Linked DNA regions of Callithrix jacchus. The protein of the gene in region 4 interacts with the protein of the main gene of each other region in a pairwise test. Links are inferred from orthologs where the notes say so. Each region holds a gene or a part of one and is shown on either strand. Other genes may lie near its edges. The genes, in order: C21H21orf58, CCDC60, FAM124B, MTUS2, SPG7, PPP1R18 and PKP2.

The links.
Region 1: the proteins of MTUS2 (region 4) and C21H21orf58 interact in a two-hybrid assay, tested with the Homo sapiens proteins (3 studies listed by BioGRID and IntAct). The two-hybrid records come from large-scale screens. The link is inferred for Callithrix jacchus from reciprocal best matches to the Homo sapiens genes MTUS2 and C21orf58.
Region 2: the proteins of MTUS2 (region 4) and CCDC60 interact in binary tests that used the Homo sapiens proteins (3 or more experiments, as listed by UniProt). The two-hybrid records come from large-scale screens. The link is inferred for Callithrix jacchus from reciprocal best matches to the Homo sapiens genes MTUS2 and CCDC60.
Region 3: the proteins of MTUS2 (region 4) and FAM124B interact in binary tests that used the Homo sapiens proteins (3 or more experiments, as listed by UniProt). The link is inferred for Callithrix jacchus from reciprocal best matches to the Homo sapiens genes MTUS2 and FAM124B.
Region 5: the proteins of MTUS2 (region 4) and SPG7 interact in binary tests that used the Homo sapiens proteins (3 or more experiments, as listed by UniProt). The two-hybrid records come from large-scale screens. The link is inferred for Callithrix jacchus from reciprocal best matches to the Homo sapiens genes MTUS2 and SPG7.
Region 6: the proteins of MTUS2 (region 4) and PPP1R18 interact in binary tests that used the Homo sapiens proteins (3 or more experiments, as listed by UniProt). The two-hybrid records come from large-scale screens. The link is inferred for Callithrix jacchus from reciprocal best matches to the Homo sapiens genes MTUS2 and PPP1R18.
Region 7: the proteins of MTUS2 (region 4) and PKP2 interact in binary tests that used the Homo sapiens proteins (3 or more experiments, as listed by UniProt). The two-hybrid records come from large-scale screens. The link is inferred for Callithrix jacchus from reciprocal best matches to the Homo sapiens genes MTUS2 and PKP2.

Annotation. Positions count from the first base shown.
Region 1 is NC_133522.1:51,899,706-51,904,149, forward strand, and holds the start of C21H21orf58 (uncharacterized protein C21orf58 homolog), read right to left. Parts: upstream 2,961-4,444; 5' UTR 2,829-2,960; coding exon 2,561-2,828; intron 499-2,560; coding exon 425-498; intron 1-424.
Region 2 is NC_133510.1:122,438,153-122,442,370, reverse strand, and holds the start of CCDC60 (coiled-coil domain-containing protein 60), read right to left. Parts: upstream 2,930-4,218; 5' UTR 2,674-2,929; exon of another isoform or gene 2,587-2,673; 5' UTR 2,437-2,586; coding exon 2,347-2,436; intron 1-2,346.
Region 3 is NC_133507.1:146,128,705-146,133,113, forward strand, and holds the start of FAM124B (protein FAM124B), read right to left. Parts: upstream 2,888-4,409; 5' UTR 2,612-2,887; coding exon 1,847-2,611; intron 1-1,846.
Region 4 is NC_133506.1:148,703,379-148,707,113, reverse strand, and holds part of MTUS2 (microtubule-associated tumor suppressor candidate 2), read right to left. Parts: intron 2,339-3,735; coding exon 2,240-2,338; intron 1,204-2,239; coding exon 1,084-1,203; intron 1-1,083. UniProt on the Homo sapiens protein: Binds microtubules. Together with MAPRE1 may target the microtubule depolymerase KIF2C to the plus-end of microtubules. May regulate the dynamics of microtubules at their growing distal tip.
Region 5 is NC_133521.1:47,155,890-47,160,051, reverse strand, and holds the start of SPG7 (mitochondrial inner membrane m-AAA protease component paraplegin), read right to left. Parts: upstream 2,946-4,162; 5' UTR 2,926-2,945; coding exon 2,743-2,925; exon of another isoform or gene 2,321-2,742; intron 274-2,320; coding exon 171-273; intron 1-170. UniProt on the Homo sapiens protein: Catalytic component of the m-AAA protease, a protease that plays a key role in proteostasis of inner mitochondrial membrane proteins, and which is essential for axonal and neuron development.
Region 6 is NC_133505.1:35,475,554-35,479,288, forward strand, and holds part of PPP1R18 (phostensin), read right to left. Parts: intron 2,809-3,735; coding exon 2,598-2,808; intron 736-2,597; coding exon 716-735; 3' UTR 1-715.
Region 7 is NC_133510.1:38,556,103-38,560,450, forward strand, and holds the start of PKP2 (plakophilin-2), read left to right. Parts: upstream 1-1,365; 5' UTR 1,366-1,411; coding exon 1,412-1,634; exon of another isoform or gene 1,635-1,987; coding exon of another isoform or gene 1,988-2,000; intron 2,001-4,348. UniProt on the Homo sapiens protein: A component of desmosome cell-cell junctions which are required for positive regulation of cellular adhesion.

The DNA.
Region 1 (4,444 bases), on a different chromosome or scaffold from region 4:
TCAAGGGGTATGCGCATGAGGGTGGCACTCCTAAAATTTACCAAATCATGTCAGCTTGTCTTGTTGTTTCCTTTTCCCAGCCAACAGGGTCTGCTTTCTTTTTCAAGTCAGTTTCAGGCCAACTCGCTGCAAAGATCTTCCCGCTAGTAAAGAGGCCCCACCTCCTGGGCATCTCTGCCACTCAGAGGCATCTTTGGTGAGTGCCATGGGAGCAAACCTCCTGGCATCCTACCATTCCAGGTCCTCCTACTCAACATTTCCAGCCCTGATGGAAACTTGCACTCAGGAGGGTCTCTAAGCTAACAGTGGCCTTGCTAGGGCCCGGCCCTGAGAGTCCAGAAAGGTCTTCCCCTCACCCTCGACCTGAGCAGCCGTCTCCGCCACAGTGAGCCCTGCCGGCTTTGCTCAGCGGTGTAGGGCTCACCTGGAGTCTCTGCAGAAGCTCCCTCCTTCTCTTCAGAGCAGTCTGCAGGGCATCATCCAGCTGGTCCTCATTTCCTGGAGGGAAACACCTGCTTGCTCACGGAAGAACACACACAGGCTGTTGCTGCAAGCACTCGGACAGCACTGCACCCGTGTGGAATGCGCCGCCTCACCCACTCTCCTGGGATAGGGGCGGGCTGGGAGGCTCCTGGGCTCAGGTTATCCCAGAGAAAGAGGGACGCGTGCTGGGTAAGAGGGCAAGGGCAGCATCAGGGCAGGGGCAACCCAGGGCACTCAAGTGTCAGAGTCTGGCCTGTGGTCACCTCATTCCTGGAAGGGAGGCTGAAGTCACATGGCCAGATTCCTCCCGAGTACCTTTCGTACAGAGTCCCTGGCCTCCAGGAGGCCAAGGCTTCTACGGGGCTGGCTGCAGCCTGACCTTGGCTACCTGGAGCCACCCTCTGGCCCCAAGCAGTCCAGAGTCTGGTCTGACCCCCAAGTGTCTGCAAGTCCCTCTAGTCTGCCCCTCAGTCTGGGCAAGGTGGCTCCTGCCTGTGATCTCAACACTGGAAGGCTGAGCTGGGAGGACTGACCTCAGGAGGTCGAGGGTGCAGTGAGCTATGAGCATGCCACACCACACTCCAGCCTGGGCAACAGAGCGAGACCAACCCTGTCTCAGCACACTGGCCAGGTGCAGTGACTCACACCTGTAATCTCAGCACTTTGGGAGGCTGAGGTGAGCGGATCACTTCAGATCAGGAGTTTGAGTCCAGCCTGGCCAACATGGCAAAACCTCGTCTCTACTAAAAATACAAAAGTGAGCCGGGCAGGAGAATTGTTTGAACCTGAGAGACAGAGGTTGCAGTGAGTCGAGATCACACCACTGCACTCCAGCCTGGGTGACAGAGCATGTCACCTTCTCAAAAAAACAAAAAAGTCAGCCGGGCACGGTGGCTCACACCTATAATCCCAGCACTTTGGGCATGGTGGCGCGCACCTGTAGTCCCAGCTAATCGGGACGCTGAGGCAGGAGAATTGCTCGAACCCAGGAGGTGGAGGTTGCGGTGAGACGAGATCACACTACTGCACTCTAGCCTGGGTGACAGAGCGCGTCTCCTTCTCAAAAACACAAAAAAGTCAGCCGGGCGCGGTGGCTCAAGCCTGTAATCCCAGCACTTTGGGAGGCCGAGGCGGGTGGATCATGAGGTCAAGAGATCGAGACCATCCTGGTCAACATGGTGAAACCCCGTCTCTACTAAAAATACAAAAATTAGCTGGGCATGATGGTGCGCGTCTGTAATCCCAGCTACTCAGGAGGCTGAGGCAGGAGAATTGCTTGAACCCAGGAGGCGGAGGTTGCGGTGAGCCGAGATGGCGCCATTGCACTCCAGCCTGGGTAACAAGAGAGAAACTCCGTCTCAAAAAAACACAAAAAAACAAAAAAGTCTATACGCCTTGGGGGATGGTCTGCACTCAAGAGAAGGCTCCAGAAGGCGAGGGGCAGGGTCCTGCCCCTCACCCAGCATCACACTGGAGCGGGGCTCCTGGAAACCCCAGTCAGTCTTTGGGGCTCCCCAAACCCTCTGCCCCAGGCACTGGTTGCCATTCTGTCACCTCTCACTGGCTGTGCAGACCTGGTTTGGGACTTTCTCTCTATTTGAGACTCTGAGCTCTGCCCTTGGCAGCTGCCCCTACAGGTCACAGGCTGCCCCATGTTCAAAGAACAGGAAATGTTCCTTTGGCCTCCTCACCTCCTCCCCAGAGGTCTCCAGGCAGCAGTGAGGACAGCAACCCCACCCCAACCAACGGGCAAGCTCAGCCTCTGGAACCAGAGCATCTGGGTCTGACCCGGTGTGACCACTTACAGGCTGAGCACAGGCTGAGTGACCCCAGACAGCTCAGCCAACCTCTCTCTGCCTCCATTTTCTCATCTGCAAAGTGGGGCCCCTTTTGGGGTCTGCAGACTAAAGGTGATAAGGCATGGGGATGTCCTCAAGTCTGAATGTAAAGGAAATGAATTAAGGACAGTCTCACTATACCAGGAGTGGGGTGATTCCCGGAGCTGCTGTGCCCACCTCCCTGGAGAAGGTATACTTGCGCCCGCCTGTGCTGGTTCCAAGCAGCCCAGCGCTCTCACCTGGCTCGAGGTGGAGGCCCTCAGGCCCCCCTTCCGTATTCTCCCGTTCTTGCTCCAGCTTCTGTGAGGAAAAGAGACCGTGACAGGGACACTGGCTCCAGGCAAAGGCCCTGTGTGCTCCAGGAATGACTAAGAGGCTTTCTGAGTGAATAGAACTGTACGTCAGGAGTAACCCAGCCCCTCCAGGGCCAAAGGTGGGAGGTGAGCCCCTCCGAGGATCTCCTCTGTGAGCTGCCTCTGTAAGCCTGACCTCCAGCAAATGCCCCATCTGCAGGTCTAAGGATAGATGCTGTGAGTGGCCCCTTCAGGCAGATTTCTGAAGAGCAACCCCGGGAGAGACCTGGTGAGGCCTCCAGGCTTCCCAGCCAGGGCATGCCTGGATCACCCCCACCTGGACCCTGAGCTGAGCAGCTAGCTGCTGGATATGTCCTAGGGTGAGTCCCTCCCACGGTGGCAGTGGGCCAGGATGCAGGGTGTGGAGCGCAGGGCTGGCAAAAGGCAGACAGCAGGTCCCTCAGGCAGCAGGAGGGGGAACAATGCAGGCAGGGGGTGCAGAGGAGCCCCCAGCACCAAGGCTCCCCTGGACCCTGTGCTCAGTGGGCCAGGAGGACAGGCAGGCTGTTCATGTGCCACCCAGTCTGAGGATGGGTCCCCTGCAGGGCTGTCTCAGAGTCCCTCCAATGCTGCAGCCTGGAGTTGTTAAAAACAGGAGCATCCCAGGCTCTGCTTTACCTGTCTCAAGAGCTTCAGCGTCAGCCGCGTCACTTGCTCTGCTGCTGTTGAGTCCAGCATGGTGGGAGCTACAGGATGACAGTACCAGGCAGGGAAGGCCGCAGCCCGCCTCCCTCCCTGGTTCTGCTACTCGCAGGAGATAACTGCTCAGCAGGAGCCCAAGCACCAGTGTCACCTGCAGGGCTGGCCCAACCTCCTGGAAACCAGCCCCAGGGGAGAGAAGAGCTGCAGCCTCCCTGGACTGCAGTGCCCCACAAGCCAGGGCTGGGCTCCACATGGCAGTTGCCAGGCTGCCGGACGCAGGGAGGCCCCAGGTTGCCAGGTTTCCACTTCGCGTCCTTAGGCTGCTACCTGCAAACACTCATCTCCAGGTGTGGCTGGCTGGGCTTCGTGGGAAGGCAAAAAAGTTGGCAGCAGCTGAGGCAGAGGGGCAGAGCTCTCAGACCTAGGGGAAGGGGACAGCCTTGACCCCCATGCACCAGCAGCCTCAAGACGCAGCCCAGAAGAGCCTGTGTGTCAGGGGAGGGCGCCCCACCTCTGTGCACTGCCTCTAGGACATGGCGGCTCCTCCCCTCCTAGGGACCCTCCAAGCTAGGAGGGAGGGCAGTTCCTCAACTGGGAGGACAGGGTGGGGAGACTGCCTACCAAGTTGTTCAAGAAATTCCAGCAGCAAAAGGGGCGGGACAGAGAAGTGGTTGTGACCTGCAGAGGGGCTGGGCTACAGCAGGACCAGGCAAGGAGCCAGGTGTGCAGGAAGCTTCGCAAAGGGCAGACACAAGTCAGGAGTGTGGTCTGCACTTGGCTGGGCATTAAACTCCACATTGACGAGTTAGTCAATCCCACTAAGCAAGCAGACTGACATCTGGGGGATGTCAGCAGCAGGGGGCCAGACCTGTGGACCAGAGGGTCGGAGGTTAGCACCCTCCTCAGTGCAGCTGACCCAGAAACTTGCCTCAGTGGCCAAAATTGCCCTCAGTTTTGTAAATGGCCATGCCCATCAGTATCTATGCTTGTGTGCCTGTCCTGTCTCCCAACCCACATCCATGTGGGGCGCCTGGAGCTGGACCAGTGAGTGATAGGGTGAAGGCCGGCCAGCCCATAGGAGGTCATGCTCACAGAGGAAGTTCATGGAAGAGATCCTCAGAGGGGCTC
Region 2 (4,218 bases), on a different chromosome or scaffold from region 4:
GAGGCTTGTCACTTTCTAGTAACCCTAGATTAGGTTAATCATTGCTTTACTATAGCTTTAAAACCTTGAAATTCCTAAAGGCATGATCTTTTGAATGTGAGCTAGGGACCCCCTGGGGTCTTCATTATTTTCTAGAAAGTAGAGAGGGGTGCAGAAAGATTTCAATGAGGCTTTTGGGCTGGAAGTCTTGGTCTATCCAACAGTTCCCCAGAAGCCTTCTTCCCATCCCTTGACCTCCCTGAGTCCCACTACTCTCCTCCGAAGAAAGAGATGATCATTTCAAGTTCCGCATCTTCCTCCACTCTCTACATCTCTCTGTGTATGCCAGGATGAAAAACCTATTGCATTTATTTGAGTACATGGCTTGTTTCTTCCCCAAATCCAACATACAGACACACACACACACATGCACGCACGCACACACACACACACACACACACACTAATCTAAATTAGCTATCCCTTTTCTTTGCTCCCACAACACCCTCTGATACTTCCTCAACACACCATTAATTAACCTGCATTATAACAATGTTTCTTATCTCTTTTATTCCCAGTCCCAAGCATACACACTATAGATTGTGAGATTCAAAGGCAGGTCTCATTTTTAACTAGAGCAAGTGTTTAGCACCTAACGGAGGTTCAATAAATCTTTACTAAATAAATGAAATGACAATATAACTAAAACCTAACGTGTGCTTCCCATATGTCAGAACTGTGCTCATAGCGTTTGGCATACAGTTACTCATTTAATGCTCACAGCAATCCCATGAGGAAACTATGATATCCCCATTTTGCAGATGGCAACACTGAAGCTCAACTTGCCCAAGGCCACAGGGCTGCTAAGAGGCAGATCCAAACCCAGGGTGATTCTGTCTGCTGCTCCTGCTTTGATGCTCACCCTTGCTATTGAAGCGTCCATTTCCTTCTTCATTTTATCCCTCATTCATTCCCCCACTGCTATGCTGGGAAGTTCAGTCCCAGCAGGGTTTACTCGGGATTGAACATCCTTCTGGGTAGTATTTTGAGATGAAAGGAGATGGAAAAAGGCTGTATCATGCAGTCATGCAGAGTGGTCTCCCTAAGAGTGCTGAGTAATGAGGAGTACACAGAGATAGGTTAAACTTTAGAGAAGAGCAGCTCGGGAACGTTTTGTACCACATGGAGAGCATTGGCAATTTATTTATTTATTTATTTTTGAAATGGAGTTTGGCATTGTCGCCCAGGCTGGAGTGCAGTGGCGCGATCTTGGCTCACTGAAAGCTCCGCTTTCTGGGTTCAAGCAATTCTTCTGCCTCAGCCTCCTGAGTAGCTGGTATTACAGGCACACACCACCACACCCAGCTAATTTTTTTTATTTTTAGTAGAGATGGGGTTTCACTATGTTGGCCAGGCTGGCCTCAAACTCCTGACCTCATGATCCGCCTGCCTCAGCCTCCCAAAGTGCTGGGATTACAGGTGTGAGCCACCACATCTAGCCACTAGTGAGTTTTAAGCTCTCCGTCATGGACTGACCACCCGCCAGGCCCTCCTTCCTGGGGCATGGCCGTGAACCACAAGTGTGCCCTGTGGATGCACCAGGGTGGACCAGCATTGCTGACCTTGGCCAATCCACGCAAAGTGGGGTGTGAGGGTACAATAACAAGTGCACACTTAGAGTTGTGCTTACCCAGTTATGATCATTTAAAAACAGGAACCATTGACTCCAGTCACTCAGTACATATCGATTTTTCTTTGCTTTTCAAATCAACAACACTGTTCCATGTCCCATAAACACATTATCCAGCGTTAACATCACAATGGACAATTTTCATAAATTATTCCATTTAGTCCTCAGACTGCTCCTAAATTGATGTTCCTGTTCTAATTTCATAGACACAAGGAAATAAAACCTCAGAGACGCTAAGCAATTAACCTGTCTAAAGTCACACAGCTGGTGCGTGGCAAACCTAGCCTTCAAACCCCAAAAGTTGACACTCTAGAGCCTCTTCATAGAGAGAGGGGATGTGCCTGTTCCCCGAGACCAACAGATCTCTGAGAGTAAGTTTCTGCGGACGGCAAACCTTCAATTTATCTTAATTTTTTCCTGATGTTCTACAGTGTCACTGCTGATTTATTCCATCATTCTGGAATTACTGGCTAATAGGATGGCCCAGCTCACCGCTCTGGTTTGCGTTTTCATTCTTTACGAGAAACCAACCATTGATAGCAACGGGGATGTGTCTCGACAATTTAATTACTCCATGACTCCCCTCTCTCCCCTCTCTTCCTTGTTGGTATCGAGGCTAATTCCTATTTCACTTGCTCTGAAAGACATGATTGGTTTCCGCAGAGAGGGAAGACTTACCTGCTTTAGGTTCTCCGAGGCATAAAAGGGCCGGACAGCCCCCGCGTTGGGGGAACTCTGAAGCTTTTTGGTGGCTGGAAACTTGGTCATCTTAAAAATCGTTCAGGCTTTTTAGCCTGCGTCTCCAAGGCAAGGGTTTTTCTAGAATCTTCTACTTCAGCAGCCACTGCTATGAGAGGTTCCGGCAACTTCTCCTTGATCCCCAGGTCCCAATTACACGAATTCCAAAACGGTTTCCATCTGAGAAGTAATGAGAAAGCACCTGGGTCTCCCACAGACGGGATAAGGAAGTCCGGTTAGAGCAGAATAAGGCGAGCCTGGGATTACTTTTTGAAAGATTATAAACTTCTGTAAGCTTCCTCGTCTTCGGAAGGGGTATCTTCCTTTTCTATAAGCAAAATAAATATGAACTAAAAAACATAAAATTCCAGCGACAAAGTGTGCGGGAGAGTCCCATGGAGGGTCTCCCAGATCCCCATCCTCCAAGAGCGCCCGAGAACTAAGGCGGCCCTAAAGAGGGGCTTATCGCTCTGTGGGGAAGGTAGGCAACTGCTAACCCCCGCGGGGGGCGGGGGAGAGACACGTGGTTGCTTGGCAACGGGACGCCAAGGAGAGCTTCCTCATTGGCTGGAATTGGTGGGGGCGTGGTCGTGGGGGGTCGTGAACTCTCCCAGGTTGCTGGGACGCCGCCGGCTCTCAGCTGCCTGATGAGGCCCGATGCCCCCGAGCCAGCCGCATTCTCTGGACCAACTGGTTTCTCTTTTCAGGCCTGAGGACCATACACTTTCTCTCTGACTACAAGCGACTCCTTGCTTTCAAACTCTGCTCTGTCCTACTGCTAACCCACTAGTGATTTTTGTGCCGTGGGGTGGGTGGCCTGTAATCCTGTAATTCTTAACCCTAGATGCCTATTTCTCCCGTTTTTCCACCTGACAAACTCCTATTCATCCTTCAGAACCCCTTCATTTTATAAAAAGAAATACTGGTATTTCAGCCGGTGGAGTCCGAGGCGGGCGGATCACCTGAGGCCAGGTGTTCGAGACCAGCCTGGGCAACATGGCGAAACCCCGTCTCTACTAAAAATACACAAAAATTAGCCAGGCATGGTGGTGTGTGTCTGTAATCCCAACTACTCGAGAGGCTGAGGCAGAATCGCTTGAACCCAGGAGGCGGAGGTTGCTGTGAGCCGAAATCGCGCCATTGCACTCCAGCCTGGTCAACAAGAGCGAAACTCCATCTCAAACCACCACCACCACCACCACCATCACCACAAAAGAGACTCGCCTTCAAGAATCTCACGATGTATATTGTGTATGTTTGGGCTGGAGAACAAAGGATAAGAAATACTGTTATAAAGCAGGGTGATTTATCATAGGGTATTATCATAGTAGGGTAGTATCATAGGGTAATGTGGGAGCAAAGAAAAGGGACTGCTATATATAGATATATGCACATGCATATACATATACACACAAATGTGAATATACATATATACACATGTATATGTGTGTATAGATGTATTTGTATGTGGAGGCATGTGTACACATGACATTTATTAAGGGCTTAGGATGTGCTAGACACTGTTCTAAGTGTTTTACACATATTGACTCAATCCATACAGCACCTCTTTAAAGAAGGTGTTTTATTACCCCATTTTACAGACTAAGCAACTGAGGCATAGAGACATTAAATGACATGTTTAAAGTCACACAAGTGCTGCAGCTGAGATTCAAAGCCAGGGTGGTTTGAGTCTAAAGACCAAGCTTGTAAGCACTTAGATGCCTAACTTTGCTGAGTTTGGCTTCTATGTCTTTAAAATGGGGATAATAGCTTTGCCACAGGTTGTTAAGAATTGAAGTGGATAATGCATAT
Region 3 (4,409 bases), on a different chromosome or scaffold from region 4:
ATCAATATGATTCATATTTTATTAACAAAGATATCAAAATGATCACAATTAAATTAACTAAATGGAAAGATATCTCATCTCGTAGTCTCTTATTACTTTATCCAGATAGGCCTTAAGGAGTTTCTGACCATTTCCTTTTTTTATTTTAGACAGAGTTTTGCTCGTTTCCCATGCTGGAATGCAATGGTGCGATCTTGGCTCACTGCAATCTCCACCTCCCGGGTTCAAGCAATTCTCCTGCATCAGCCTCCCAAGTAGCTGGGATTACAGACACACACCACCTCATCCAGCTAATTTTTTGTATTTTTAGTAGAGCTGGGGTTTCACCATGTTGGCCAGGCTTGTCTTTAACTCCTGATCTCAGGTGATCCACCCACCTCGACCTCTTAAAGGGCTGGGATTACAGGTGTGAGCCACCACACCTGGCCTCTGACCATTTCTTAAGGAGAGAAGCCACAGGATATTTTGCCGTGAACATCACATTCATCCCTCTGCCCACACATTTACACACATCCACGGGACTGCAGTGGCTGGCCACATGAACTTTGAAGATTAATAGACACTTCCTATCTTGGGCAAATAACTGACCTCCTGTACAGCTCAATTTTCTTAACTCCAAAATGGGAAAAATAGTAACTCCATAGGTTGTTATAAGTGTTTATTAAATAAAATTATCAATTTAAAATCTTAAGTATAGGGCATAATATGAACAATAGCTCCAATTGAGTTCTGGGCACTGTCTTAATTATGCAGTTTGTAAGTGTCAGGTCATTTACTGTAAATCAATATGGGAGAGGAAGATGGTAATTCTGCCTTGCCTTTATTGTGCTGATGAAGAAACCTAGGCCCTTGGTCATACAGCTACTAAGTGGTCAGGCTCATATACCATGAAAGGCAACGCATGACAGCTGTCATGATTAAATACACACATGCTGCATTAGGTTTTCAAGGATGGTTACAAAGGAAGGCTTTAATTAAAAATTTTTTTTTTCAGAAAGGGTTCTATCTAATTTGGTGCGTGGTAAAATTTCACAGTAATGCAAGATGCTTAAAAATTAAGTCAATAGCACTGCTAATTTAACATCCCTAAACAAGCTCAGTCAACATAGCGAGACCCCATCTATAGAAATAAAATAAATTAGCCGGACATGGCAGCATGTGCCTGTAGTCCCAGCTAGTCAGGAGGCTAAGGCAGGAGGATCGCTTGAATCCAGAAGGTGGAGATCTCAGAAAGCTGTGATGGCACCACTGCACTCCAGTCTGGGCAACAGAGGAAGACTCCCATCTCTTAAAAATTAAAAAATGTACAATCAGGAGAAGGGAATTAAAAAATTAAAAAAATTAAACCATCTCTAAACATAAGTATGACTTCAAATTCCTTAGTCAGATGGGAAGAATTTATGACATTCCTGAGCTCAAAGGGTAAGCAAAGGATATGGGTACAGTTGATTGGCATTTACACGGCAAGCCTGAGAAAGGAGGCTGGTTCTTTATAAAGATTCTGATCTTTATAGTCGCATCCTGTCTGATTCTACTATAAAGTACTTGTGTCAGCTGCCAATTCCTGGAATCTGAACTTTCTTATCTGTCAGATGAGATTTTACGAGATCGGTGACTCTCCACCCTGTTACAGGTTATAATCATCCAAGTAGCTGTAAAAAAGTTTCCTAGGCCTGGATGCTCCCAGAGATTCCAATCAAACTGGCCTGGGGTGGGAATTTCTGAAAGCCCCTGAAAAACGTGGAAGTGCAACCGACTCTGGGAAGCACTAACTTAGGCCCTTTCTGATGTAAAATGACACAGCTCCATGAGCCGCTACACGATCACAAAGACAAAACAGAAATACCTGAAGCAGAATCTTGTTGCCATCGTAGTCCTGAGTCTGCCACCTGGTACTGCTGATGGGAATGCATGGGTTGGGTAGCAGAGGCACTAACTGGCCAATCTCTCGAACTTTAAACTGCAGCACCGAAGAATCTTTGGGGTCCACTGACATTCCTGGGGGCAGCTGCTTCAGGGAGAGCTGCAGAGCAAAGCTGTTGGTGGCATAGAGCACGAAGAAACAAAAATTGCTCTTTTGCAAGGTGGCTTCTCTCTGCAGGATCATCTCATAGAGTCTGATGGCATCCTCATAGTTATCAAAGCTGCAATAGAGCGTCACCCTTAGGATCTCAGAGCCACAGTGCACCTGCCTCACCCCCCAGATGGGCATCTGGCTGTCCAGGCTGTAGAACTCCTGATTGGCAAGAAGGTAGGGACACGGCCTTCCCCGAGTGTCCTGGGTGGGGTAGTACTGCCATGGCGAATGTTGGAGAGAGTCCAGGATGTGAAACAGCCGATCCTCTCCCAGGCTTTTGGGCAGAAAGAGCAAGACGGACATCCCTGGGAACCGGGACCGCTTGGAGTGGGACTTTTCACAGTATTTCACAGGACTGGCCCGTTCAGACACCTGAAAGAGCCGGACCTCTGGGCAAATGCAATCCAGGAGCTGGTCCAGAGTCGTCTGCAGAAGCGAACCGTGCCCAGAGTTGGCAAGAAGATGGACAGTCATGGCCAGAGGCCCCTGTGTCTCATCCATGGAGGAACTGCCTGGCGATGACAAAGATGGCATGCGAAGAAGTTAAACAGGCCACTGTTTAACTTCTGAAATGAATGAAGGAGCAGCCCAGCCTTCAGCCCACCCGAAAACCTTCAGCTGCAGCGGCTACTTCTGAGCAGAGCTCTTAACCAGACTGACATGTGCTCCTGGCCACCCACGGACTTGCCATAAGAGCAGCTCACACAAGCTCAAGTTCAGCAGCCTCCGCTCCACGCGGCAGCAGTGGGATCACATCATCCAGCTTGTGCATAAAGTAACCGCTTGTGTTTGGCTTTTCAGGCATTCCCCAGGGTTTCAGTGTGACCTCAAAACCTATAATCCTGAGAAACACCCAAGTGGGCGGCTCTTACAGACAGTGAGTAAAGGAAATGACCCGGTAAAAAGGAACAGGAGTTGGCTCTGTCAGGCTGATAGCAATCTGTTGAGTTGAAAAGACAGCCATTTTATCAGCACAACGGGCTCTCACTTCCTACTTAGGGTTTACAGTAGCCTGTGCAGCCAGTCTGAATACAATGATCTCTTGAAAACAATGCTCAAAACTTGACCTCTTGCCAAGGTTTTTTTCCTTTGTCTCTTTATTTCATTTGGTTTCTGAACATTTTATGCTAGGGCATGAAGAGAAGGTATTTTATCTCAATAATTTTGACTTCACTGAAACTTATTTGCTCTACTAACAATTCTGAGTGTACGAAAAAGACATTGAGAAAATAAGTCTTCCTTTATTCATGCAAAAAAAATTTTTTTTTTTTTTTGAGACAGAGTTTTGCTCTTGTTGCCCAGGCTGGAGTGAAATGGCATGATCTTGGCTCACCACAACCTCTGGCTCCCGGGTACAAGGGATTCTCCTGCCTCAGCCTCCTGAGCAGCTGGGATTACAGGCATGCACCACCACCAGGTAATTTTGTATTTTTAGTAGAGACAAGGTTTCCCCATGTTGGCCAGGCTGGTCTTGAACTCCTGACCTCAGGTGATCTGCCCACCCCGGCCTCCCAAAGTGCTGGGATTATAGGCGTGAGCCACTGCACCCAGCTATTCATGTAAATTGTTTAGAAAGAGTGAGAGCTTTCCAATAATTGCTCATGTAATTGTAATAAATACTTAAGAATTATAATTTTTAGTGTCTATTGAGGATCTACTATGTACCAGTCATAAACTGTTCTAATTCTTAATGTAAACTTTTTTTTGGAGAAGGAGTCTCACTCTATCACCTAAACTGGAGTGCAGTGGCATGATCTTGGCTCACTGCAACCTCCAACTCGCAGGTTCAAGAGATCCTCTTGCCTCAGCCTCCCCAGTAACTGGGACTACAGATGTGCCATCACAACTGGCTAATTTTTGGTATTTTTAGTAGAGAATGGGTTTTGCCATGTTGGCCGGACTGGTCTCAAACTCCTGACCTCAAGGTGATCTGCCCGCCTTGGTCTCCCAAAGTGCTATGATTACAGGCGTGAGTCACCACACCCAGCCATATTAGTCCATATTTATATCGCTATAAGACATACCTAAGACTGGGTAATTTATAAAGAAAAAGAGATTTAATGGACTCACAGTTCCACGTGGCTGGGATTACAGGCATGAGTCACTGAGCCTAGCCCTTAATGTAAATTAATTTAATCTTGCAATAAACCTATGAAGAAGAGATTACTAGCCCCAAATTATTGATGAAGAAACTGGAGCATAGAAAGGCTAAGTAACTTGCCCAAGTTCTCACAGCTAAGAAGTAGCTGAGGGAAGATTTGAACCCAGAAATTTGCTGCACTGCCTCTCTGGGGCCTTGAAATCCCAGCCTGGGTTTTCTTCCTTCTTGTAA
Region 4 (3,735 bases):
ATACAGACACTGCCTTACAGAGAAAAAGTTCTGGAAAGTATAAGCACTGGTAGGAATATGATGTTATAATCTGCTTTTCTTCGGTTTATCTTATTTCATAGTTTCCCAAAGTACATATATTATTTTTGGTAGTATCAAAAGTGTATTTTTAAAGTAATAATAATAAAGGGAAAAAATAAGAATCTGAGATCCTGGGGCCAACTTCCAGATCAAGATGGGCTGCCCTTGGAAGGAGGCTTCCCTGCCACTCCCTTTGCACACCTTTCTGGGACTCTAGCCCTGGCCAGGGAGGGTGGGGGTGATGGGGGGGTGGGGTGGATGCTTGTGCCCCAGCGTAGGGGGTGAAATCCTGCGTGTTCTGTGTCCCCTAGGGGGTGACTTTTGCCAGCTCTGCAGGAGCCAGGCTGGTGGGCTGAGCTGGGTGAGTGTCAGTGAGAGCAGGGACGCTGTTCTGGGCTGAATGTTTGTGTCCCCCAAAATTCCTGTGCTGAAACCTAACCCCCAAGGAGGCGGAGCTTTGGGGAGGGGATCAGATCCAGAAGGTGAGCCCCTGTGAATGGGATTAATACCCTTATAAAAAGGGCCCCAGGAAGATCCCTGGCCCCTTCTGCCTTGTGGGGACTCGAAGCACTGGGCAGGGGCTCCTTAGCACCATCTCCGGCATCTGTAAAGCGGCTCATGGCAGCAGCTGCTCCACAGGCAGCTGTCGGAGTTAGGAGCAGGCTCACTCAGGGAAAGTGCTCTGTGCAGTGCCTGGGCACTGGAGATGCTGTATCCTGCTGGGTCACCACATGTCCCCAAGACAGGGTGTAGAGACAGTGCAATTGCCAGAAAACCAGGGTGAAGCAGAAAGAGGCCGCCTGTCAGGAAGGTTTCAGAGTTGGACAAGGTGAGGCCACCTCTAAGATTTCTTATCAGAGCTCCTGGCTTCCCAGGAAAGGCCAGCCATGGGATTTTCTGCTTAGGTATAAGCAATGGGCAGGTAAGGGACACACCTGGCCGAACACCATCAGCAATGACATCAGGAACGACAGGAGGAGCGTCATGGAGGTTAGTCACTCCCATGCAAACAGACCAACTCACCAGCTTTTCCAGCTCAAGAATCTTCTTTTCCTGCTCGTGTATTTGCTGATTCTTCATCTCTAATACCTGCTTCAGACTCTTCATGTCTTCTTCCAAGTGCTGATAAGGAGCCAGTGCAATCTACAGGGGCAGAGAGCCATAAAATGTTGACCGGGGCTCCCGGCAAAACCCAGTATTAACCAATATCACTAATCCAGCTAAATCCAGCCTCTGGACCAACGCCCCAATAGCAATTGCACAGCAAAGACAGAGGATGCTCGCAGTCTTCCCTGATGAAGGGGTCCTGCTGCTTCCCCCTGGGAACCCATTCTGTGCGGGAGCAGGTGACACACAGCCATCGTCCACTGGGAAGTTTGATTCCGGAAATGCTGGATGCTGCCAGCCCATGCCCAGCAGGGAACTCATGGGTCGAAAGAGTAAACCCAACACTAGCCTTTAACATTCACCTGGATGACTGGTAGCTGGGGCTCTTCTGGGTCCCACCTATACCCATAAAGAGCCCATGCACAGGAAATGAGCAGAGTGGCTTAAGAAGCAGAAAAGCCATTTTGGAAAAAGACACATTACAGTAGTGCTGCTGGATATAGCAAATTAAAACATGGTATGTCCTGTTAAATTCAAATTTCAGATAAAGCACGTTTTAAAAAAGTGAGCACAAGTATTGCTTGGGACATACTTAGACTCAAAAATTTATTTACCTGTAATTCAAATTTAACTGCGTGTCTTGTATCTTATTTGGCAACCCTACGTTAGAGAGAAGGAGTTTTGCCAGATTTCCTGAAAAAAATTCCCCTCAACCTATTAACTCCTGCTGTAGCCAAGGCTGCCCGTGTCAGCCTAAAAAGCTGGGGGAGAATGAGATGGAAGGGGTGGTCGGGCAAGGGTCGGGGGTTGCCGGACCATGCTGATCACAGGGGCCCCGGAACCTCGGCTGGGCAATGCTGTGGAATTTGGCAAAAATAACACGTAGCTGGAGAAATCCACAGCTGCTGTCTGACTCTGGGGAGATGTGCTGACAGAAATTGTTTACAAATCCAGGGGAGGTCGTGACCAGCTGTCACTTCAGCAAGGGATTCACAGAGAGGCCTTGTCTTGGGACAAGACTGCTGAGGGAGTCCCGTGGCCTGGGGCTGGAAGCCTGGAATCCCGAAACTACCTCCAGCTGCTCCTCCGTGCTCTTCCTCAAGGCCTCTTCGAAGCGGCGTGCTCTGTCCCGCAGAGACTGGCTCTGGAAGGTCAGCGTGTCCACCTGGTCCTGGAGTAATGACATGAGGAGTCCAGCTGGGGGCGCTACAGCCTGCCGCTGCCACAGCTGGGGCAGCTTCAATCAGCAGGCCACCACTTTCTTCAGCATCCTTAGAGTGTCTCCCTTGGGACTGAAGAAAGAGGTGCCCAAGGGGACCCCCAAAATCACATGATGGGCATGGTTTCCCCCAACGCCTACCCGTGGCTTGCCCTTCTTGGCTCTTTGTCAGGAAGAAACCACAAAAACACTGTGAACCGGGGGGCATCTCACAACATCTGATCCTATAGAAGCAGACAATCCTCAGGGAGAGGCGTCTGGGCCAGGAGGCACCCAGCCCTGGCTTTGGGAAGGACCACAGTGAAGGTACTTCAAAGAATCATTCTCATTTATGAAGCTCAATCCAGAACCCTTCCAACCCTCCTTCACTTCTTTCTCTGCCTTGGGATCCCTCTCACATCACCAAACCTTCTGGCCACCGAGCCCTGCTATCCTGCCTCCTGAATGTCCCTAGAAGCCACAGACTCCCCTGAGCTCAGCCACTCGGCTGGCTCCATCCTGACACGATTCTTCTTTCTCCTGAAGTATCACTCCTTTACCCTCACGCTGCAGTCAAGCCCTCTTTCTAATGTGCAAAGCGGAACCTGTCCTTCCCCGACCTCCTACCCCACTGCCCTCAAGGTGCCGTGTACACTCCCTAACGCAGCACCCTCCCGCCTCGCTGCCTCCCTCTCCTCTCACGCCAGCTCTCCTGCTGGCAGTGCCCTCCTCCAGCCAGCTGCCTCTCACTCCTGCTTCATTCTGGCTCCCACGCAGCCTTCCTGGCCTGACAGCTGGGTTTCATGTCCCTGATAGGAGCTCACATGGAAGCTGAGTCCACACAGTCTCCTCCTCCCTGCTGAGACCCGCTCCCTGGCCAGACTGGCACTCCCAGCCCTCTGCCTTCCCATGCCCGTCAGCTAGGGGGGCAGCTGGCGGCTCTCCACCTGCAGGTTGAAGGAAAGCAGGAGTGTCTATGGGGACACCATGCCCCTTCCCCAGCTCCCAGGGCAGATGCACCTGCGCTGACTCTGTCCCACTCAGCCTGCCCATGACTCCCCACACCACAGGCTGGCAAAGGACCACTGATGCCCAAGAAGCGCTTCACCCTTCGTGTCTCACTCATGCAGACCAGTCCAAAGCTCTGTTACAGCACCATTTCTGTAACATCAAAACACGGAAACTAGGGTGTCCCGTGAATTCTTCCAAAGAAAAATATACATATATATAATACACACACACACACACACACACACACACACACACACACACACACACACATACATATATGAGAGACAGAGACAGGGTCTCACTCTGTCGTCCAGGCTGGAGTGCAGTGGGTACAATCTTGGCTCACTGCAACCTCCACC
Region 5 (4,162 bases), on a different chromosome or scaffold from region 4:
TTTTTGTTCAGAGACAGGGTCTCACTCTGTCACCCAGGCTGGAGTACAGTAGCAGCATCAGCCTTGAACTCCTAGGCTCAGGCCATCTTCCCGCCTCAGCCTCCCAAGTAGTGTAGTGGGATACAGGCCTGCAATGTCATGCTCAGCTGCTTCTTTCAACAGATACATACCTAAAAGGTGCCAGAGTCTGATCGGATTCTGAAGTAAATGTTGTTTCAATAAAAGTCCATTGATCCCTTCAAAGGTAGGGGTTAGCAGTCGCAACTGTAAGCTCTGAAAAAAAAAATCCCAATACCAGAGGTCACACCAACATAACAAAATACCAAAGCAACACAGACTAAAAATCTTTTTTTTTAAGAGATGGGGTTTCACCATGTTGGCCAGACTGGTCTCGAACTTCTGACCTCAGGTGATCCACCTGCCTCAGCCTCCCAAAGTGCTGGGATTAGTCATGAGCCACGGCGCCCAGCCTAAAAATCACTTTTAAAAGTTCAAACATATAATTATTTGTAATATCTACACTGCCCTGAAAAATGAGGTAACAGTCTACGCAGTATTTCAAAGCTTTAAGGTAACATCAAAATGTCGAAAGCAAGCAAACAGGTTAAAACACAGTAGTTGGCCAGGAGAGATTGCTCCCGCCTGTAATACCAGAACTTTGGGAGGCCTAGATGACTGGATCACCTGAGGTCAGGAGTTCAAGACCAGCCTGGCCATGATGGTGAAACCTGAGATCTACTAAAAACACAAAAATTAGCCAGGTGTGGTGGGAGACGCCTGTAATCTCGGCTACTCAGGAAGCTGAGGCAGGAGAATTGCTTGAACCTGGAAGGGGAGGTTGCAGTGAGCCTAGATGGCGCCACTGCACTGCAGCCTGGGAGACAAATGGAGACTCCGTCTCAAAAAAACAAAAACGGCGCCGGACACGGCAGCTCAAGCCTGTAATCCCAGCACTTTGGGAGGCCGAGGCGGGTGGATCACGAGGTCAAGGGATCCAGACCATCCTGGGTCAACATAGTGAAACCCTGTCTCTACTAAAAATACAAAAAATTAGCTGGGCATGGTGGCGCGTGCCTGTAATCCCAGCTACTCAGGAGGCTGAGGCAGGAGAATTGCCTGAACCCAGGAGGCGGAGGTTGCGGTGAGCCGAGATCGCGCCATTGCACTCCAGCCTGGGTAACGAGCGAAAGTCCGTCTCACACACACACACACAAAAAACCACCATAGTAGTGGCCAGGCACAGTGGCGCAGGTCTGTGGGAGGCCGAGTTGGGAGCACTGCTTGAGCTCAAGACTTCAAGACCAGCCTGGGCAACTCAAGAAAACAAAACACAGCAGGGTACTGGCTGCTATCGCATGGCCTGAAGCTTCTGCCGGGAGAAGGGACCATCCCAGCTCTCCAAAGGCCACAGTGGCTGCGAAGACCCTGTGCTCCTGCTGTCACCAGAGAGTGGCTCCATGCAGAACATTTCCAGGTACTAAACCAGTTAACAAGTATGTATTTTCAACGACCTCCTTTCAAGATAAACATTTTCCCATTTAAATGTGTTTTAAGTTCTAAAGATCAGCGGCAAAGCTAAGCAACATTGGGAGACACCATCTTTTCAAAAAAAAAAAAAAAATACAGAAGTTAGAGACGTGCGGTGGCCCATGCCTCGCTAAGGCCTTTCACGTCAGGAGGATGAGGTAGGAGAATCACTGGAGTCCAGAAGGTCGAGGCCACAGTGAACCGACATCCCATCACTGCATTCCAGCCTGGGCGACAGAGCCAGACTCTGTCTCAAAAATAACTAAATAAACAGCAACCGAAAATGTGTGGGCTAAGTAAGCTCCCAGGAGAAGGATAGGAGAAAAAGCATCAGGCCAAAAGATCAAGACTCAGAGTCTGGTTTTCGGGAGGAGATGGTATACTTCGCAGCACTTGAAACAAGGCTTCCCCACAGGGGGTGCTCAATGACTTTGTGTCAGTATGGTTCCAAACTGCAACAGCAAAATGCAACTACAGCGTTTCTGCGCACACAGAAACTTTCTGGGCCGGCCACTCGGCATCGAGCACCATAACTGGAAGGCGCTGGGATTCCTGGGGGGGACTGAATCCAGCCACAGGTGCGGACTGTAAATTATTGATCCGCGGGAAACTGTTACCGGATTCCACTTTAAAAGACGAGGGAGGGCCAGGAGCCGCGGCTCACGCCTGTAATCCCATCACTTTGGGAAGCCAAGGCAGGCGGATCACTTGAGGTCAGGAGTTCGAGATCAGTCTTGGCTAACATGGTGAAACTCCGTCTCTACTAAAAATGCAAAAAAAGCGCGTCTACTACCAGCTCCTCCAGAGGCTGAGAAGAATCGCTTTGAACCCGGAAGGCGGAGGTTGCAGTGAGATCAGGCCACTGCACTGCAGCCAGAACAAACAAACAACAAAAACCCCAGAGAGAGGGGGGAAAATACCCAAACACAACAGAAGGGGTGGGAAAGCCCACGCCGAGGGCTGCGCGGATCCCAGTCCTGCCCCTTCCCAACCCGTCCAGTGCCCACGCTCCAGGTCCGCTCCCGGCTCCCCTCCAGACGCCTTCCCGACGCCGACGGGGCGCAGCTGGAGGACTCGCGGGCCCACTGGCGCAGGCTCCCCCGCCACAGGGGCCAGGCGGCCTCTGACACCGACCCTCCCGGCGCGGCGCTACCGAGCAGATCGTCGCCAAAAGGGCGGGGCGGGAGGTGGGGCCCGGACGCCGCGAAGATTTACCTGTACGGCTTGGCCTCCAGCCTCAGGGAGGCCCCACGGAGGCCTGCTAGCCACGTACGGCCGCCCCCTCCCGGGCCCCGCGGGGAACCCTGGACTCCAGGCCGGGCCTGGGCCCCACAGCCGCCCAGGACCCGGACCAGGGCACCGGCGAAGGGCGCGGAGCAGCAGCAGCACAGCCGCCATGCTGGCCTGAAGCCGCGCCTGCGCGAGCCGCGGGCCACCACGGGGCGCCTGCGCGGTGTGGGCGGGGCCTACCGGACGCCTGCGCTGTGTGGGCGGGGCCTACCGGGCGCCTGCGCACCGGGTGCCGCCTGCCCCACCCGCCGTGCTAGCCGGGCTCTCTCGCAGCCGCCTGAGGCCCTGCAGCAGCGGGGCCGGTTTAGTGGGGGGCCGCGGCTGCCGTGTTGGTTTTTGACGCCCGCCTTGTATGTTCCGAGCCTGGCGGGTGAATAACTGGCCGGGTCCTGGCTGCGTGGTCGCGCTCCGCCCGCGCCGAGGGGCCGCCCTCGCAGGCAGCCTGGTCCCCCGCAGGGCTCCGTCACAGGCGCGGGCGGACGTCGCGGGTCCGAATCACCCCTTCGGGCTGAGAAGCGCAGGAACGGGGCGGGTTTCCCGCTTCTTGAGCAGCCGGAGGACGAGAACCGGAGCTGCAGCCGATCCAGGAAGGGCAGCCCGGACGAGGCGGGTCCTGAGGCGGGGAGCGCGCGGCGGGGCGCGGCCTGGCTGGAGTGCGCGGAGCTCTGAGCGGAGCGCGGGCCCCGTCCGCTCCGACCGACTCTCCTCGGAGGCGCTTCGGGCCCCCGTCGTGCCCCGGGAGTCCGGTCAGGGTTTGTCCCGGGCGCTGCGCGAGCCCAGCGTGGGAAGCGGGGAGGCGCTGCCCGGAAGCCGGGAAGAAGGCTCTGTTCTCTTCGGGGTCCGCACTCCAGGCCCGGGCAGGGTCCCTCGTGGGCTCCCAGGTCCCCCGCCCCGTCGTCCGTCCGCCTGAGGTCCCGAGCTGACGCCGGGAGCTGCCTGGCCGTGGAGTAGGAACAGCGGAGACTAGCGCGGTCTGTTGCACGTGGAGGAGACTCACGCACCTTCACGCTTGTTTCCCGAACCCGGGACGGCGCGTGCGCGCGGCAGCCGGCATCCGAGTGCCCGGCCCGCGTCCGACACAGCCGGGCAGGAACCCGGCTCTTCTGTAAACGGGGAAACAGGTTCACACGCATTCAGAGTAACTAGCCCAGGACCACAGCTCCGAAGTCAGTGCACAGTTTCGAGGCCGGTCTCGCATCTGGGCCTGCGCTCCCTCCACCGCCGCGGACTAGACGGCAAAGCCAGCGGGCTGCGGTTCTCCTCCTCCTCCTCCTCGGCCCCTAACGCTCGGGGAATTTTGTTTTTTTTTTTTTTGAGACGGAGTTTCGCTGTTGTTACCCAGGCT
Region 6 (3,735 bases), on a different chromosome or scaffold from region 4:
CTATCAAGGGATACAGAGTTAAGATTTCCAGCCTTCCCTCTTGGGGAAAACTGAGGCAAAGTAATACTGAGAAAAAGTGGAGGAAGCCGCACCTTCAGGCCACTCCAATGAGGAGATAAGAGGGGACAGAGGAGAGAATTCCACGCAGACACAGCAAGTAAGTGTGGCTTGTAAACCTGGGACTTTGGCAGGTGGAGCTGGGAGCTGGTGGAATTTGTAAACCAGGCTGTGGTCAAGACAGGAGGCAGGAACTGTAAACAAAGGGGCAGTGACTTAGGAAATAAAGGAGATGTGTCTATAAATGGAATGGGGTCTGGGCCTCCCAGAGAAACGAGTGCTTAAATCCTGAGATCCCCCACGGGATGGTGGGGAGGAAGGCTATGGGAAGAGCGTACCCTGCCACGGGGGCGGGGGCAGGTGCTCCATCTCCACCCTCCGGGAGTTCCGTGCTCCTTCTCAGGACTTGGTGCTCACTCTTGGATCACCTAGGATGCACCAGCACGTTTAACCCCACCCACACTAGGGATTTCGGATTAGGGTAGAAATTGGGCAATTGGCTCTGCCCCCAGAAACAGGGTGGGGAAAGCAAGTTAGAAGACGGTGGTTGCCCTTCCCTGCCAGGCTCATTATTAGGGTCTGTCTGCCCTGAATCTTCCAGGCTCCAGGATCTTCAGTTATAGGAAGGAGGGACGTATATCCCTATATTGGAAGATGGTCACCGCCGGCAGGACTCATCTATGGGAGAGGAGGCAATAATGACAGAGAATGAGTGAGAGCCTCTACTTCCTGCCCTCCTTTCCCCCCCCCGCCCCCGCACACAAATTGAAGGGCAGTTGGCATGCAGGAAGTCTTATAATAGCTTTCATATCTAAAGCACCTTCCCACCAATAACATCATCCATCTCTCATTTAGCTTGAACTCTGTGCCAGGCATCCTTCCAACTGTTTAATCTTACCATAACTCCAGGAAAGAGTAAGTAATTTGATATCCAGCTGTGGCTCTCGGCGCTTCACAAAAATTACTTAATCTAATCCCAGCACTTTGGGAGGCTGAGGCAGGAGGATCACTTGAGGTCAGGAGTACAAGACCAGCCCAGCCAACATGGCGAAATCCCATCTCCACTAAAAATACAATAATTAGCCAGATGTGATGGTACATGCCTGTAATCCCAGCTACTCTGGAGGCTGAGGAATGAGAATCACTTGAACTTGAGAGGCAGAGGTTGCAGTGAGTCGAGATTGTGTCACTGGATTCCAGTCTGGATGACAGAGGAAGAGTCTGTCTCAAATAAATAAATAAATAACTTTCTTTTCAACAACTCCAGGAAGTAGCTTTTTTTTTTTTTTTTTTTTTTGTGATGGAGTCTCTGTCTGTTGCCCAGGCAGGAGTGTACTGGCACCATCTCAGCTCAGTGCAACCTCTGCTTTCCAGGTTCAAGGGATTCTCCTGCCTTGGTCTCCCAAGTAACAGGGATTACAGGTGTCCACCTCCATGCCTGGCTAAGTTTTGTATTTTTATTTATTTAATTAATTATTTTTTTTAAAGACAGGGTTTCACCATGTTGGCTGGGCTGGGCTTGAACTCCTAACCTCAGGTGATCCACCCACCTCGGCCTCCCAAAGTGCTGAGATTATAGGCGTGAGCCGCCACACCTGGCCTATTTAATTTATTTTATTTTATTTTTTTGAGATGGGGTTTCACCATGTTGGCCAGGCTTGTGTCGAACTCCTGACCTCAGGTGATCCACCCGCCTTGGCCTCCCAAAGTACTAGGATTGTAAGCATGAGCCACCATGCCTGGCCAATTTTTGTATTTTTAGTAGAGACAGGGTTTCACCATGTTGGCCAGGCTGCTCTTGAACTTCCGACCTTGAGTGATCCACCTGCCTTGGCCTCCCAAAGTGCTGGGATTACAGGTGTAAGCCACTGTGCCAGGCCTGTTTATTTCTTTTGAGACAGGGTCTTCCTCTGTTGCCCAGGTTGGAGTGCAGTGGTGGTACACTGCAGTCAGCTCATTGCAGCCTCCAACTCCTGAAGTCAAGCGATCCTCCCACCTCAGCCTCCTGAGTAGCTGGAACCACAACTGTGTACCACCACACCTGACTAATTTTTGTATTTTTTTGTAGAGACAGGATTTTGCCATGTTGCCTAGGCTGATCTTGAACTCCTAGGCTCAAGCGATCCACCCATCTTGGCCTCCTGAAGTGCTGGAATTACAGGCACGAGCCACAGGAGGTAGTTATCATTAACTTCATTTCATAAATAATACACTAAAGCCAGAGATCAGACGGTTTCTCTGAGATTACACAATTAGGAGACAAGCTGAAATTCCAACTCAGGCCTGTTCACCCACCCTGTGGTTTTAACCAGATTACAGGACTTGGGAAGTGTTCTGGTTTTGAAACCTGAAGACTCAGTGTGTATTTCATTTCCTGGGACCTCAGTTTGCTCATCTGTTAAAGGAGCAGGTTGGACCAGAGGACCTGCCAAGCCCCTTCCAAGCGCCTACATGAAGTCCCTCCCTTCTCTTCCCTCCTGGACCACAGCGCCCAATCTGACAGCAGGGGGCGCCCTCGGGCCGGCGGAGCCTCTGCTTACCCACAATCAGGGCCTTGGTGCGAAGCCCGCCCTGGAGCTCTGGCTGCAGTAGCAGCAGCTCTTCCTCATCCTCTTCATCGTCGGGTTGGGTTGCTGGGGGGTTGGGGGAACTGGGGACCTCAGGCTCCGGGCCCAACTCCTCCAGTACCGAACTCTCGGAGGGGTATTGGTACGTGGTCTCCAGGGCTGTCTCGCTGAAGGAGATCTTAAGCTGAAGGAGGGAAAAAAGGGGGCAGGAGACAAGGTCAGTGAGGGAGAAACCCGTGGGGGGTTGCAGGGGAATCCGGGGTTGAGGGGGAGTCTACAAGGGGGCAGGTGGGACACGTGGAACATGGTGTTGGGGCTGGACTTAAGCACCCCACTCACTGTCCCCATCCACTCTGGGATCCAGTTTTCCTTTCCATACTGACTCTCCAATCCTAGAGCTTCCCTCTTCGATCATAGCATTTCAAAACATCAGACTTTGCCCTGTACATTGGCAGGGGCTTGGGAGGCAGAGTGAATAATATAGGACCAAGGTCCCTGCTCCTTCGACTGTGGGAGGCAGAGGGGTAAAAAGAAATTAAAATACATGGAAACAAGTCTTATGATCAGAACTGAGTCTTTGGGCACCTTGGGGCAGTGGAGTAGATTTCCCGGAGGAGCCAGCAGGCTGGCCAGTGGGGAAGGAACTAGCTGGGGAGTGAGTCTCAGCCAAAAGTAAGGTTTTCATATCCACAGCCCCTTGCTGTCCTATGCAAAACTCAGGACCCTGGGCACCTGTTCCCTCCCACTCCCCTTATTCCTCTCTCCTATCCATAGCAAAGGGGGTCTAGGGCCTGGGAAGAGATGGGAGACGAACAGAAAGGCCCAGAGGAACCAAGAGACTTCTGCAACACACGGGAAAGGTGAGCCTCTGAAACCCTGAAATGCTGGGGGAGATGACAATGGCAGAAAGGAAAGTCCACACAGACCTGGGGTGGGGGTCGACAGTGTGTCCGAAGGGACAGGTACAGAGACAGAAGACCAGATAGGGCACAGAAAACCCTTGGTAATCACACTGTCCCAAGAGCAGGAGAGTCCCAGCTGTTCTGACTGCCTTTCTACCCTTCCCCTTTGCCCTCTTAAGAAGCTCAGGGGGAAGGGGCAGGGTGGGATT
Region 7 (4,348 bases), on a different chromosome or scaffold from region 4:
AAAGGGAAGCTATATACCTGTGCATTAAGTGTGTGTCTAAGCATTCAGTGTGTGTCTAAGGGCAGAAGAGTGTGGGTAGGAAACCAGAGACGAGGGAACCTGCGTTCCCCAAACACTCCAGACTTGAATAAGTGGGGTTTTGCAGCAATTGAGTGATTTGAGGGAAAGTGAACATAAAAACCCAAGCCATCAAAGGGAAGATTATCTTACTTAATACCAGTGATACATGTTTTTCTTTCTGCCTCTTAAGTCCAAAGAGGAAAATCAAGACAAGTGGCTTTGGTTGTAAACTTTAAGGTCAAGGATCCTTTCTGTTGAGCTTAGCTCTCAGGTTCTCAGTAGTCAACTGTGTGTGAAACATAATTAATAGCACGATAAATACAAGTTGTGGAAGATTCGACTAAAAGTTGGAGGCCCTCTCCATGGATATCTCTGCAAAGAGCCTGTCATAAAGAGGACTTACTCAACGTTAGCAGGCCTATTTAAAAAAGCATCGTCCATTAAAATTCATTTCTTCTCCAGAGCCTCTTGTTGGAGTTTCTCTGTGTGGGTGTGTTCGTAAGAGAGGAATGGGTGAACCAGTTACTGGGTACAATTTGTGTATCTTCAAGAGAAAACAGCTCTCAATGAGGAAGAACATATGTTTCTGGGACTGCATCTGTGCAAAAAGTACATCGTCCTGAAGTTGTACTAAGAAAAAAAAAACAAACCACACTCTTAAAAAGTCTTTTATTTCACTCATGTCATCTTCTTGGCACATTTCCCCTCATATTGCCCTTTCCGCCTGAGCAAATAGCCCTTTCTTACCCTCAGGTCCAGCAAAACCAGGAAACGTGTCCAACAGTCCGACAAAGCCTGACTAACCAGACATACTACTCACTCGTGGATCCTGAAGACAAGCCTCAGTCCAAGAACAGCAGTAACTCGAGGGCGCACCTGCCTGCAAGGCAGCCCCTCCCTGTATCAAGCGGAAATTCATCCTGCCCAGCGCCGGGCGTGGGCAGAGCGGAGCGCAATCCCAGCAGGCTGTATCCGCCGGGACTTCGACCACGTGCGCGACCCCGGGCGAACCGCGCCCCTCTCCCCACCTCCCCGCGGGCGGGCGGGCTGGTCCAACTCACCAGGTGTCCGCGCGCGCGCAGCGGGGCCCGCCCCCGCCCCGCCCCGCCCCCAGGCCCGAGTGCGCGTGCCCGGCCGGAGCCGCGCCCCCCTCCCCAGGGAAGCCCGGGCGTTCGGCCCTCGAGGACGAGCTCCCCCAAGCCCGGGCCTCTCACCGGCGCGGGGGCGGGCCAGGGGCGGGGCCGGGGCCGGGCGGGGCGGGGCGGGGCTCGCGCCAGAGCCCCCAGCTCCGCCGCTGCTTCGCCCGCGAGTCCTGAGGCAGTCGAGCGGCTTGGTCGCCCCCACCGACCCCATGGCAGCCCCCGGCGCCCCAGCTGAGTACGGCTACATCCGGACCGTACTGGGCCAGCAGATCCTGGGACAACTGGACAGCTCCAGCCTGGCGCTGCCCTCCGAGGCCAAGCTGAAGCTGGCGGGGAGCAACTGCCGCGGCGGCCAGACGGTCAAGAGCCTGCGGATCCAGGAGCAGGTGCAGCAGACCCTCGCCCGGAAGGGCCGCAGCTCTGTGGGCAACGGTGAGTGGAGCCCGCGGCTCCCTGGCGCCGCCTCCTGGCCCGCACCCCGTTACCCCATCCTATCCTGCCCTCACCCCACTTGCTGGGAGTGCAGAACCTGGTGTTCTGCCCACCTGTTGCTCGCCGCCCTCGGTATGACGGGTTTGCTTGTGGAAAGCACTCTTTTCCATAACCTGTTACTTAGCTTTGTCATATAGGTACATATGTATGTTAAATATTGTACATATCTGTCAATGTTAAAGAACTCACTTGGAAATTTAACCCCTTTCTTTTTCTACTCCGCCCGTCCGCACCCCTCGCTGGTGCGGACTGAATTTGGAGGTTCAGGGAGTCGAGCAACACCTTGAGATGCTATGCAGAATTTTGGTATGTACTATCTTTTTCTGGGAGAAGGAGCCCTTCTTCACTTTTATTAGATTCTTTAAATAGTTAATGACCCCCATAAATATCTTGAAAAAGAAAACCCGACAGCACAGGTGCTCCTACAACCTATAAATTGGGATTGTGCTGTTTTGTGCAAGTACTTCGGGGCGCTCCAAGTGTAGGAGGCGAGTGGTGGATCTAAGGAGTGAAAAAAGTGGCTAGGAGGCTTTGGTCCTGGGAACAAACACGCCCAGGAGAAAGGGGACTTTGGCCCTGCCGGCAACACCCCTGCCCTCCTGGCTGCGCTTCCCACCCCCACCAATGCGGGCGTGGTGCAAGGCTGACCCTCCAAAAAATTAAACATGGAGGTGAAAGGGGTGTAAGCACACACACGCATACTATGTCTGTGATCGATAGACGGGGGAGGTGGAAGGGCAAGAAGATGGCAAGCCACTTGTGAAAATTAGGGAACATGATGTATCCTTTTCTCCTCTGCTAAAGTCAGGTGATCGATCAACTCAGTAACTCTTGTTGTGCGTGTGAGTTTGCATTATAAAAGCACTATGTTGGCTTACTATAGCAAAAAGTTTTAAAGAAGAGGAAAGAAATTGAGTAATTAAGTTGGAATATCTGTTTCCTCCATGTTCAACTGTTTCTGTATGAAGTAACTTGTGCATTGGTGAATGTAGGCTAACCCATTCTAATTTCTATTAGGAAAATAGAAAAATCCTAACAGGCCAGACCACAGTTTTAGAACAGTAGAGTCTGGGAGGCTATACTGTTTATATAAACGAATCCTAAAGAATCAGGTAGTCAATGATTATATATTAGAAAGGTATAGAGAAGATGTTCAAAGATTGTAGTTAATATAACTGAGTGCCTACTATGTGCCAAGAACTGGGCAATGTAGTTTGCATTCATTTTATATGTGTGTGTGTGTGTGTGTGTGTATTAATTTTATATATATATATATACAGTTTGTATTTAAAAACTTGTAATGAGCTAGGTATTTCAATCCTCATTTTACAGATAAGGAAACTAAGCAGTTAAGTAACACTTAAGTTCTCATAGATGGTAACTGGCAGAGTTGGTATTTAAACTCCCAAACGTGAATTTTAAACCTCTTAGCAGTTTTATCATTAAGTTTTAAAATTATTAATACAAAATGGGATTTATTAGATGCTAAGCCTCTCGGTGGCCCCCTTCCATTTTTCTCTAAATAAAATTTAGGATGTTCTGAAAAGCTGGGGAGGTCTAGACAACACAGAACTGCCACAATACCTGGGGGGGAAAGACCTTAAATTTAGACTTAGGTGTCTGACCAAAGACTACGGGATGACTGAGGCCAATCTTTGACCCGTGGAGCCATTACACCCATTCAAACTAAAACCAAACCAGCTTCCTCCACGTGAGGAACACAGGAGGCATGTTAGTTATTCTTTCTTATCCTTTGAGAATGGCCAGCCAGGAAGAACAAGCAGATACAACTATTCCTAAATGGAGGGAATGGAGCCATGAACAGAAGAAAAGGGAATGTTGCTGGGCATCTATATACTTTGTGCCTATTCCAGAATCTTTATTATATCCTTAAAACAATTGTGTGAGATAGGTATGAGAATCCATCTCACATATGAAGTATTTGTCTGTCAGCATTTGTTGGAAGTGTAATCCCAGCTCCATACATAATCTGTTCTCTCTACAGTATAATGCATCAGTTGTGTGGTGAATTCAGCAAGCATCAGATGAGCATGTTCTTCATACAGGGTACTGTGCAGGTGCTGAATTAAACACAAAGACTCTGCTTGCTTTAAGCAAGAAGTTGAAAGTCTAAGGAAGGAGGCCAACCTCTAGAAAAATACTTTACCAAATAAAAAGTAGTAAGTGACCCAAAAGAATAGCTAGTGTATTATGGAGTTTAGAAGTATAAATTGTTTGGACGTGGTAGTTCGTGTCTGTAATCCCAGCACGTTGAGAGGCTAAGGTGGGTGGATCATCTAAGGTCGGGAGTTCAAGACCAGCCTGACCAACATGGAGAAACCCTATCTCTACTCGGAATACAAAATTAACCAGGCATAGTGGTGCATGCCTGTAATCTCAGCTACTCAGGAGGCTGAGGCAGGAGAATCTCACTTGAACCTGGGAGGCAGAGATTGCAGTAAGCAGAGATTATGCCATTGCAATCCAGCATGGACAAAACTCCTTCTCAAAACAAAAAACAAAAAGCTCATGCCTGTAATCCCAGCACTTTGTGAGAGTGAGGTGGGAGGATCATGAAGTCAGGAGATCGAGACCATCCTGGCCAACCATGGTGAAACTCCATCTCTACTAAAAATAAAGAATTAGCTGGGTGT